2 linked regions of the Caenorhabditis elegans genome follow. The protein of the gene in region 2 interacts with the protein of the main gene of each other region in a pairwise test. Each region holds a gene or a part of one and is shown on either strand. Other genes may lie near its edges.

Region 1 (6,516 bases), on a different chromosome or scaffold from region 2:
CCTCCCCTAATTTTACTTTTTCTACGTTACCATGTTTAGTGGTTAGATCGGTTTATAATTCTCTTATAAACCTTCACAGTTACCTCTTAAAATGTTAAATTTTGTTCTGAAGTTTTCCAAAATAGATTGCGGCCTATCAATTTTACCTTTAAATCGAGTGATGAAAAAAAATGCGCTGTTAAAACAATTCTTACATGAAATAGTTTTAAATAAGATATAAGTACAGGGTGGTCCATAATTATGGACCACCCTGTATAAATGAGTCAAAAAATGTATATAAGAGTAAAATGTAAAACATAAAGTGAGATATAAACGGAATAACATTATAGAAGTTGTTTTTATTAGATTTAAATCGTGTTACACCCCTTTTTTATTAAAAGTTGCCAAAGTGTGTTCTTCAGAAAACACACCATTTGCATGTCAGATTCTTAAGTTGACCAGTTCAATGCAAACATTCAGTCAAAATTTCTACAAATGTGTAACCAAGAAGTCAGTTCCGTGAAATTTTTGTGAGCATTTGAAAATACGTGAAATAAAAGTCACCAAGCAAGACATTTATTTTTCAAAAAAGCAAGCATTACTACTATTTTCGAATGGGGAACACCCGTAAATTTATATTACAGACATCAGTAATGTAACGAAGTTCACCTATTACAGAATAGATAAATAAATATATTACAAAGCATGGTTCAGTAAGTATTAGAGTTCTGATAAATTAAAACTAAATTTTAAATGAATTAAAACAACAAAATTCAATAAAATTATTCGTCGTAATATTAGTGTTGTTGAGCAATTTCTGAGAAGAACTGAAGTACAGTGTCAGTGGAAACTTCGAGCTCAATCTTCGAGCCTGGGTAACAAGTGAGAATCAGTTTGTTGTATTCCGCAATTTGCTTGACAAATTGCTCTTGCATATCTCTCCATACAACTTGCAAAAGTGATGAATTGGCAACCAGGTTCTTCTCAATTTTCTTGTACAGTTGCTCGAGTCCTTTTTTCACTTCTTTTCCCGGATGTTGTGAAATTACCTGGAAAATTTATGAAATGGCGATTTTGATGATTAACTAGAAATTCAACCTTTTTAAGCTCAATGCGACTGAATTGTTGTTGATACGAGATTTCATCAGGACGAATTCCACGCGTTTCGATAAAGTTGTTGACATTGTCGAAGAACGTCTGAAATTTTTGGAATACATATCGATAGTTTTGGGAGATTTTTGTTTAAAGGTGGAGTACCGAAATTCGAATGAGATGTTTTGAAAATTCCTCAAAAAAAGTTATGGAGGTTCAAAGTCGGAAAAAAGGTTTTGCAGCTAAAATCACAATTTTTACAACTTCTCGGTGTCGCAGCGTCTGGAACTTAATTTTTATTTATTGATCACTCTTTAATAAATTTGTTGGTCTTTTATTGGGCGTATATGCGCTGAATTGTTGGGTCTAAAATAGCAAAGCCTCAAATTTTGGTACTCCAACTTTAAACTATGGTAGAGTGCCTTTTTTTACAAATGTTGTAGAATGACAAGCCAAAATTAGAAAGAAAAAACTAGTTTAAAGCATAATAGTCAAGTTTTTTTTCAAGCATTGGCAGCACAGTATTGAAACATAAATTTCCATATTTATATATCACCTGAATCTCTTTGAGTGGACGACCCATAAACTCTTTTACGTACGCATCAATATGTTCTTCCTTGAGCGCTTTCGCATCTTTTCGTTGTTGATCCAAACATGAGATTTTTAGCTCCGACAAAGTCACTGAAACATTTATCACCATCACACTTTATTGTTTCCTAGAACACTTACAATAGAGCTCGTGGTAATTTTCAAACTTGACTACAGACGACGGAGACTTGCTGTATTGATTGGCGGCAGCTTTTTGTATCCCGTCACAAACCGCCCGGCAAAGATTGAAATATGCCTTCTCCAAGTCAGTTCTTCTCTCGGCATTTTCAAAGATAATTTCAGCACGTCTCACAAAGTTTGCAAAGCGAAAAATTGATGGGAGAATTCCGATTCTAGTCTTTTTAGCAATGCGAACTTCCGAGTACTGGGAACATTCCATTTGCTGGAAGAGAAGATTATTGCAATTACAGTACATATAAATGGAACTCACAATAAATGCATCAAACTGGCGTTTTATCAGAACAACTAAACTTCCAAATGTGATCGAAAAATAGGAGCTTGGGTCTTGTGGTAGAAGCACTTTCTTCGACATGATTACAAACAAAAGGAGAACATTGCTAAAATGTGTAGGAATTTAAAATAATATGTACGTGTACCTTTTCTCACCTAGGATTGTGCCTACAAACCGCCCGACAGAAACTATCAAGATGAATATTGAGCGAGTCAAACAAGTTGCCCATAACGTGTCTCACTTGCTCGTTCATATGTTTCTCCATACTACGTCCTCCGAGACTTGAGCTATCACCGCTTCCAGTTGAAGTCGTATCGAACTGAGCCAACAGCTCCGAGTTGATGTGGAAGAAGCGGACAACGAACTTTTGCTCTGCGTCAATCACAGCGCTCAGTTCTGCCAGCACCGTTTCGATGAGTTGCGGTAAGACTTCAGTATCAATTTCACTGGAGGTGCTCAGGAAACTCTGGTTGTCAGAACGAAGTGAAATGTTTGCAGATTCATTTGCTTCTGAAATCAGATGATTATTTTTTGCTGCAAATATTAGCAAACATACTTGACTTCTTTTCAGAACTGTTAGCTTTTGGAACTTTGTTGATCAGTGTCTCAAAGAAATTGTCAAATAGACGTTTGTAAAGTAGATTCGTGCTGTCGATATACTTTTGCAAGACTAAATTGCAAGCCTTTGGACGGTTCGTTTTCAGCCAGTTGATAAGATCAGAGAGTGGAGAAAGGGCGCGAAAGCGTTGAGACTGTTTTGGAATACACAGTTCATGCCACTCATGATCCAAAGATAAGTCGTTCTGAAAAAAAAACACGCGTTGAAAATGATTTTATACAGTGCGCGCGCTTGCTACAGGATTCTTCTAAAATTTATAATAGATGTATTGAAAAAACTCCACATTTTAACGTGAATCTATTGTGAAATTATGGTATGTGATGTAAAAAAAGCTTCGCATGCGCTGTAAAATATCTGAAATTCGAGAATTTTGGTTGAAATTTTCAAAAAATTCAGAGGGTCCTTTAGCGAGAGCGTGACCTCCGGAATTCTCTAATACTTCTACAATTTAGGGGGTCCTCGAGCAAGCAAGCACACGTTCATTGAAACTTACCAAATTCGAGAACAGTGCAGAGAGGTGAGACATGAGCCTATCGACAAAGACATCCACTGCGGTAAGCTCATCATTTCTGTCCTGATAGGCTTTCATTTGAAGCATTGGCTTAGAAATCCTCCCGTGCCAGAATTGTGCAACAGCGCGTGCAGCGTCCGTGCATCTTTGAACACTGAAGTATCATAATATTACTTGAAAACTCTAAGTTGTTCACTCTACCTTTCTGGGTTACTGAAGTTAGCTTGTTTCAGAGTCTCAATGTGGGAATCAGTAACAGCCTGCAACGAATTGACAAATGAAACGATTTCCTCGTTGAGACGTTGCTTGTTCTTTCTTTCAACCACCGATAAACTATCTTTCTCTTCGATCAATTCGATACTGTTCCTCACAAACTGAAAATAGTTGATTAAAATTTCAATAAATTCCTTTACAATGTAGTACCGCCAAAATGTCATCACAACGATCAAGCTCTTTTTCGACCGACTCAACACCGGTCAATGCTGCATCAATACTCGAAAGCAACTGGTTTACGGAATTCTCACTGTCCATCATAGAGTTGATGTTGGCTCCATCGAGAGATTGCAATTGCTCCGTCAGCATTTCGGCAAAAATATGTGCTTCACCAATAGTCAAATTAGCTCGCGCAATCAACTTTCGAAAGTCTGCGTCCTCCTTGTTGGATATTGGCTGATAATCACTTTGCATCGCCATATCATGCTCAGGAAGCTCAATGGGTATAATGGAGGTTTCTGATTCAAGTTGCGGTAGAGAGAAATTGCAGAAATCTGGCATCTGGACTGGAAGGTATTGGCATGACAACTAAAATACGAAATTTTCAGTAAAAAAGTTGAAAGTATTATAGTTGGATACCTTGTAGAGTTCTCGAATGAACTCGTCCTTTTCCTCAGCGGAACCAGCCAAAATCACATATTGATGATCACCGATAGTGATGTGGAACTCTGGTGATGCCTGAATTTTTTTAATGTTTGTCAGTTGAATAAAATTCTCAATTTTTTTTAAACCCAAAAAAACTTGAAGTAAATGCGAATTTAACTAATTGATAAGCCATTTTGTCAAAATAATTCCTGCAATTTGCATCATCTTTTCGACAAATTTAGTGTACAATAACTATTCTTTCAACAACTTCTCACCTAACTTTAGCTAATTGCAATTTTTACAATTGATAAAGATCGTTGAAAAGTTGCGGCAAAATGGCGAATTTTTAGCTATTTTAGGTTGATAAACTCCATCAAACATTAGTGTTCGTAAAACTTGAAAATCCTCAGTTATTCGAGAAGCTTCACATTTTTTGCGTTATGTTCTTCGTTACGCTCACATTTGCTCACTACATATATCGTATAAATTGCGTGAATCCATATAATTTTCAAATACTCACTTTTTTCGGATTTATTCCGTCGATTTCTCTGACTTCTCTCAAATTGAACCTGTCCTTCTTTTTGAATGTATCATCTTTCTCCCCTTTCACAAAGTATAAACGGACGGCGATGGGGTGCTCGATTGTGACTGCAAGTTATCGATTTTTATACAGGACAATTCCAAGAATTCTTACCTGCTAAACATAGTAGTGTCTGGTTTTTCTTCTTTTTTCCATCCAACTTTGAGACATTGACTATTGCTTGAATTCTTTCATCGTCTTTCTGGAAAAGTTGCCGCTGGATTATCTTCCTGATTGCAGACATTCAAATCTGAAATTGAAAATTTATATAATCACATTGATTAAGTAGAATAATAAAAATTTTAAACTTAAACCAAGCATTAAAAAAGAAAACAATAAAATCAGGGAATTGGAAACAGTTATGCCCAGTAAAAACATACGGAGTTATTCTGCGTCTCTGCAGTTTTCTGTGGTGACTAGTACACGAAAAACACGCCAGTGGCCGGTTAGCGTGCGCGTTTCTCGATGAACACCACTATTTATATTGCAATGCAGGGAAGCAAAAATAATTTTATTTGGTTTTATTTTTACACTTGCAAAAGATATAGTAATAGAATTGAAACGAATTGATTGACCTGAAAAGATTTATTTTTGGCAATTATTTAAATAGAACACGATTCCTAAAACGGACCGTAAAAAAATGACAATTGAAAGTTTTCAATTAGGAGAATCTGCAAAAGTAAAAAAGAAAGAAACAATAAATAATATTACACGGATCAGAAAAAAAACAACAGAGAGTTTGAAAAGGTCGTGGTTTTGATTTGGAAGTGACTTGAGGCATAAGTTAAAAGTAGAAAAAAAGTAACAGAAAACTTAAGTGAGACAAAAGAAAATGATTAATGACATGTAGCTATATTAAATCGGGGGTAAGTTTCAAAATGAGATTATCACTGAACAGCGTTTCTGACTGGATACATGGTGTAGTTGGTAGTAATCAAAGTGCGACGCAGCGGAAGTGGGCCTGCAGGTGGAAGTGTGTAGTTGCGGTTACGAATTGAAGTCGGGATTTTGATGATCTGATTTATTTATTAGTTTTTACAGTAAATTGTATTATCGCCCCTTTAAATTTTTTTTTATAAAACAAATGTGGACATATGTATATTTCAATACATTTTGTTACATTTCGCGACATTACTTGATTAGCCCCATTAGTAATTATTGTATTCTAAAGAAAAAACACACAAAATATGCTGGACAATCCGAATTTGGAAGTATTTTAAATCTTGGTAACTACTGAAACTTGTCCTATTAGACCTGCTAGCTTATATCTCGGTTGTCTTAAATTGTACCAAAAATAGTACAATGTCAATATGTTGAAAATTATTTTACGTAATTACGCAGTTAAAATGTTTTGATAAAATTAAAGAAAATCGAGATATTAGCTGTCAGCGTGAAGCAATCGGTGAGCAAGTCTAATAGTGATAATACAATATGTAGTAGTACCTTCTGACATGACAAGTAACTTAATGCATTTATCAAAATCTTACCGCTCGACCCTTTGAGTACGGAGCAGATCGCACAGTGTACTGCGGCTGACTTGCCGCCATTTTAGAGACGACTTCTCCAAGACTTTTTCCAGGTGGAACCGGTCGAGACGATTTTTTGCTAAAACGAAAAATATTGTTAAAAACCTAAATTTGGTAGTTCTTACAATTTGACTTGGGGCGGCATTGTGCTGAAAGTCAGTGTCTTAAAAACGGTCGCCGAGGGGACGTAGCTTTCCGAAGGCGAACGTTTTATGAATTTCCCGTAAATAAATGTATTTTTCATGCTCGACACAAAATCATCGTGATCTGCAGACTCCAGCTGAAAAAATA
Region 2 (5,261 bases):
ACAATGATTTTATCATTTTCTTTAAAATTTAAAGTAGAAAGGGAGACATCGTCGGCGCCTTGAAGAAACTTTCCTGTAAAATACTTTGTCTCATTATTCCAAAAAATCAGAAACAACCTCTGTGCAACAACTTCATGGTTTCAACATCAACATCATTGTCGGTGGCGATTCGATCGCGTAGCTGCCCAAGTGTCAAAATAGATTCGTCTTCTCCTTGATTTTCCTCAAGAATGTCGATTGTAGTTTGAACGGATGAACACGACACATTCACCTTCATTTCTGAAAATTGATTTTGAGACAGTTTTAGCAGTGGGAGAAGCCTCCGAGTGTCGATAAATAAGAAATTGGAACAAAATTATTGTTAACTTATTAGAAAATTAAGAAACTTCTAGAAATGACGAGAAGCTTATGCGAAAATCAGTTCCTCCACGAGGTGTACACATCGATTGCAATGGGGCGCACTCGCTCAGAGACTTCAGAGAAAAACGATTCCATAGACAATGAATCACCGTTTTCGTACGATACTGTGAGGGACATTAAATTAGCCCATTTTTGTTTTTAAGTCACAATACGAGAGCACATGATAGTTTTTATATTGGACATGTAAGAAACACAATGTATGAGCAATAAAATAAACAGTGAGTTGGGTGATAACCATCGGTTGAATAATAAGTATGCAATTATTTACAAGAAAATTACTTATGGCTGGAAACTTTTTTCAATCGCTCGAGAATGGCATCGAGTTTGTAAATTGTCTCCTGGTCAATCTGTTTGTAGATTTTGTCCCGATTTTTAACTATTTTGCGAAAATTGTGAATGCACTCTGTTGCTTTTGCAGCTCGCTCTTCAGCTACCACATCGACTCCAATTCGCCGAGTTTTGGTGGATGCAAATCCGATGATTGTGTCCAGTAAACTGTTGGTAATTGATGCAAGAGCCTTCAAGCAAGCCGATCGCTTCCCATAATTGTCGCTCGTGATATTTTCTGAATTACAAAACATTAGAATAAATTTATCAGGAAGCAAAACCAACCCATGATAAATGTTAAACAAGCATGGCACGAGTTGAGACACCAAGAGTTTCTACTATTCAGAATTCTAATGACTGTGGGAGCGAGTTGGTTGTCGTTTGACAATATCTGTTCCATGTTACTTGTGAAACTCTTCATCTTATAAACACGAAGATCTGAAAAGAAAACATAAACTGAAAAATCAAAACTCTGCAAATCCTACTTCTGCTCTCTCGCTTCGCACAAACACCGATTTTATTCACTTCCTCGGTGCATGCGGACCACAACGACGCGTTTGATGACATGACTGACACGGATGATTCTGGGGAGGATTTTGGCAAAGAACTGCTATGTTCTTCACCTCTCGAAACCGGGTTCCGAGACAATTCCTTCTTCGACTCGGAATGCAATGGACGTCTTGAGCGAGTATTTGTGAACTCGGGCAGATCGGCTTTCACAGTTCGAGAACTCCCGATGAAAGTGATGGGAACGTCCTTTTCCGCACCGCGTCTGAAAAAAATATAATCGCTTCAGATACTTTTTTCGTAGAACTCACCGACTCGAAGTAGATCTTGTATTTGGTCTGTTTTCAGCGGATTTCGGAATGTCGTTGAGAGGCTTCCTATTTTTTGCATGTGTTAGTTTTTTCCGGTCGTCAAGCCCTGACATCTGAAAAATTTCAAAATTTCAAATTTAAGAAGAGACAAACATTTTATAATTGGAAAAAAACACAAGATATCAAAATTAGACGAAAGAAAGGAACTAGTAAACAAGAAAAAACCGTTTTCCCGCATAAAAGAAATTCCCGCGTAATTCTTTGAAGTACTATCGTACCCCGCATGAGCGCTGCGGGACCCGAATAACATCTCATATGCGCCTTTAAAGTTTTTAATATAAAGCTGGATTTTTTAATCCTAAGTATTTACTTTTGCCTCATTCCAATGAATTCTTGAAACGATATATTTAATATTTAATTTAGTTCTTATAGTAAATGGCTCCAGTACTTGGTTTGTTGGAAAATGAAGCGAAAGTCAAGTCGATCATCAGAAAGTAAGTCACCAAAAAAAGAAACAGTTTATATTAATTTAATTTCAGCAATAACCTACTCGAAAAAAAGTTTTCGAGCTTTCAAAGACAGTGTAGAGACCTATCAAGAAACCATGCACTCCGTAGGCGATTTTCGTTCTTGGTTGCAAACGAATTACATTTTTTCAGTCGATTCGTGTTGTTCACAAGTCAAACATTCGGCAACAGCCGCAGAAGAAATGTCAGTCAGCGATAAAGATGTGAAAAATCACCAGAAGAAACTTCATTCATTTTTGGCACAGTCTACTGATCAAGGTATCATTTTCCTTTTAACTTTTAATATTTTAGTTTTCGTGTTTCAGTTAACTCCACGATTGATAAAATGGATTTTTTCTGTTCCAAGGGCAATCACTCTCTTCCGATGGAAATGTCAGTGCTTTCGATCACACTTCCATATGAAGCGTGTATTGAAAAATCTGCAAAAAAACACGAAACTATGGTTTTTTCCATTGATGAAGTTTCGAGTGCTGTTCAGCACCTGGAAAATGAAAAAGTCGATGTGGAAAAGCGTCAATCTTCAACAGGCAAACTTATATTTCAAACTGAAAAAGAAATTATGAAGCTAAAAGAAGAGATTCAAGTAAATACAAATCTCGAGTCAAATATTATTCAATTGTCTCTGGAGAAGCTTTCTTCAGTCAAAGACTCTTCTACGAGTGAAAATGTTTATAAAGCGAAACTGGAAGAGGAGGTATTTCTGTTTCATAAAAAAGGATGTAAAATTTATAATTTAGATAAACGAAGCCAGGCAAATATATGAAGACGCATTGAAACAGGATGTGATCAGCCAAGAATCAGCTATGATGACCCAGCAACTAGAATCTCTTAATGAGTTGTGCTCTGACCTCAGTGATCTTAACAAAATTAATCTTACATCTATCGAAAAGTTTCCTGATTGCAATGAGGTATGCGAGCTCTCCGATGAACTGCAAACTCTTGAAAAGTCTGAAGCTGAAAACTCAGAAAGTATAATAAATCTCGAGGCGTCGTTGGAAGATATTAAATATCAGAACAAGAAAGTCCGTAAGAGTTTTGATCAAATAAACCAATTGGAAAACGCATATATCGTTAAAAAAGAGGTTCTGACTCGGAAGAAATCTGCTATCGAGGACGTCAAGCGACAAATTGCTGAAAGCAAAATCACATTAAATAAATTGAAAGTGACTGTCCGTGCTGTGGAACGATCTGACACCCCAGAGAATGTGGAATCAAAGAAAGAAGTATTTATTCATTCAAATTCAGTATATTACAAGTCTTGTTTCAGGAGGCTTTTCGGCGTCTCGTGGCATCTAGCACTGAACTTCCCGGACCAGAGTCATTCCAGCGTGACAATGTTCGAAATGTGGAGAAATCATTGCGTTTTAAGAAGTGGAACCAAAGAACCACGTCGCAGTCGTCGTTCACTTCAGGTAAGATGTTTAATTGTTTTTATACCAATTTGATTACAACCACATGTTTACTTTTTTGAATAACAAAATACGACGCTTTCAAAGAAGTTTGCAAAGTTTTTTTAATAGACTTTGTGTCAAAGAAGAAATAAATTTATAATTATTTATAGTTTTAGATTCAACACGATCTATTGGACCGATTGGTGTGCATTATCCAGGGATAAAACTTATCAACAAAGACGCTGCAACGCCCACTGAAGTTATTCGGAAGATTACATCGGAGCTAAATGAATCTGCTACTTCTGAAGATTCAACATTCGATGACGATACAGGCACAACACAGGATGAGTCTGGATTGAATGCATTCTTTAATTCTCCGGTTAGCAAAGAACAAACTTCAATGCGTCCACAGTTTTCAATGATTGCTCATATGGAGAAGTATGATACAATGCAGGCCAAGAAAAACATGGATAAATTGCCTGATAATGTTCGCCGAGAAAGCGAAATGGAACACATTTCCCATAATTACGGCCGTAATAATAATTTTTACAGTACGAAAAATTCTGATTACTTCAGGTCCCTCTGAAGTTAACCGCCCGGCGAGTGTTTCATCTAAACGCCACGATCCGGCTGCAAGTATATCGGCAACATCGGAAGAGTCGATCCTATCTGGAACCACTCAGGATGAATCTATGCTCAATGATTTCTTCAATCCAACAGGCACCGACGAAAAACTTAACGACGTTGAGTTTTCCATGACTGCGCATGTGGCAGAATTCGATAACAGACAAAAAGCAAAAAGAGCTGCAGAGCAAATTAAGAAGAGTTCTTCAAAAATATCTGGCAAAAAAGAGGAATCAGTTGCAGATGATAAAAGTGGTTCTTGAATTCTGAATAAGCTTGACAATTTGCAACTATTTTCAGGCTCTGGCAACAGCTACGTAGCTGAAAGTGAAGCTGGCTTCTCACAAGGATCTGAGGAAAACGAATCCATGGATGATGAGGTTTGTGTCTCTTAATGGAATATTCATGAAACATTTATTGTTTTCAGGATTTGGTTGCTCCAGATGATGGCGGTCTAGATCAAACGATTTGGGATGGTGACGACTAAAACTTTCTACATTCTAATTTAATTCATACTTTTTTGTGTTCCTCTTATACGGAATTTTCGCGTAATCTTGTACTATTCCATCATGTTCCTATTGTTTGTGATCTGTTATAAGTTATAAATCATTGTTCTTTAATATTTCAATATTATTGCTGTCACTGTCAAAATGCTAATTAAATTTATCTTTAAAAATCAATTTAAATGTTTAAGTCCTGTAAATATTTATTAAACCGTCGAATTTCAGGAAAAATAACTGTTATAAAATTTATTTTACATGTTAACATGCATGTTAGAAAAGAAGAATTTTACATGTCAACATGCATGTTAGAAAAGAAGAGTACTTGAGAAATTACAAAAGTTTGTATGTATTTACTTGTTTCAATAGTTTTCATTTGTCTGTGGTCGTTGTCTCGCTGAAAAAGACGGGCGGTGCGAGAAAAAGGGTTTTATTTGGACACTAAACTCAATAAAGATACACTTTTTTGATTTCGCTCGCTAAAACTTTTCAATTTCAATACTTCACTTTTGCATCATTTTTCGTGCAGCTCTCTGCGTCTCCGCTTTCAAACACTTCTATTTTGGGTCAATTCTGTTTTTTTTCTTGTTCAGTTTCGAATCAATAGTTTAGCGCGGCTCCAAACATCTAGAAAATCCTTCAAGAAGAGAGCAC

Evidence for each region. Proteins that work in one complex are often made in the same cells at the same time.
Region 1: the proteins of syp-6 (region 2) and sec-3 interact in a two-hybrid assay, tested with the Caenorhabditis elegans proteins (one large-scale study listed by BioGRID).

The regions. Positions count from the first base shown.
Region 1 is NC_003284.9:3,094,895-3,101,410, forward strand, and holds sec-3 (Exocyst complex component 1), read right to left. Parts: upstream 4,959-6,516; 5' UTR 4,944-4,958; coding exon 4,814-4,943; intron 4,768-4,813; coding exon 4,640-4,767; intron 4,213-4,639; coding exon 4,114-4,212; intron 4,063-4,113; coding exon 3,685-4,062; intron 3,636-3,684; coding exon 3,463-3,635; intron 3,416-3,462; coding exon 3,244-3,415; intron 3,170-3,243; exon of another isoform or gene 3,034-3,169; intron 2,935-3,033; coding exon 2,688-2,934; intron 2,642-2,687; coding exon 2,287-2,641; intron 2,238-2,286; coding exon 2,111-2,237; intron 2,063-2,110; coding exon 1,801-2,062; intron 1,753-1,800; coding exon 1,628-1,752; intron 1,177-1,627; coding exon 1,078-1,176; intron 1,029-1,077; coding exon 777-1,028; 3' UTR 534-776; downstream 1-533. Other genes in the region: ztf-13 (C2H2-type domain-containing protein), read right to left, coding at 5,587-5,715, 6,187-6,304, 6,351-6,505.
Region 2 is NC_003279.8:6,564,173-6,569,433, forward strand, and holds syp-6 (Thyroid receptor-interacting protein 11), read left to right. Parts: upstream 1-1,983; 5' UTR 1,984-2,000; coding exon 2,001-2,059; intron 2,060-2,104; coding exon 2,105-2,178; intron 2,179-2,224; coding exon 2,225-2,350; intron 2,351-2,397; coding exon 2,398-2,786; intron 2,787-2,829; coding exon 2,830-3,315; intron 3,316-3,359; coding exon 3,360-3,504; intron 3,505-3,653; coding exon 3,654-4,016; intron 4,017-4,059; coding exon 4,060-4,362; intron 4,363-4,407; coding exon 4,408-4,487; intron 4,488-4,534; coding exon 4,535-4,594; 3' UTR 4,595-4,721; downstream 4,722-5,261. Other genes in the region: bag-1 (BAG family molecular chaperone regulator 1), read right to left, coding at 1-73, 118-277; mei-2 (Meiotic spindle formation protein 2), read right to left, coding at 696-985, 1,033-1,185, 1,233-1,519, 1,566-1,678.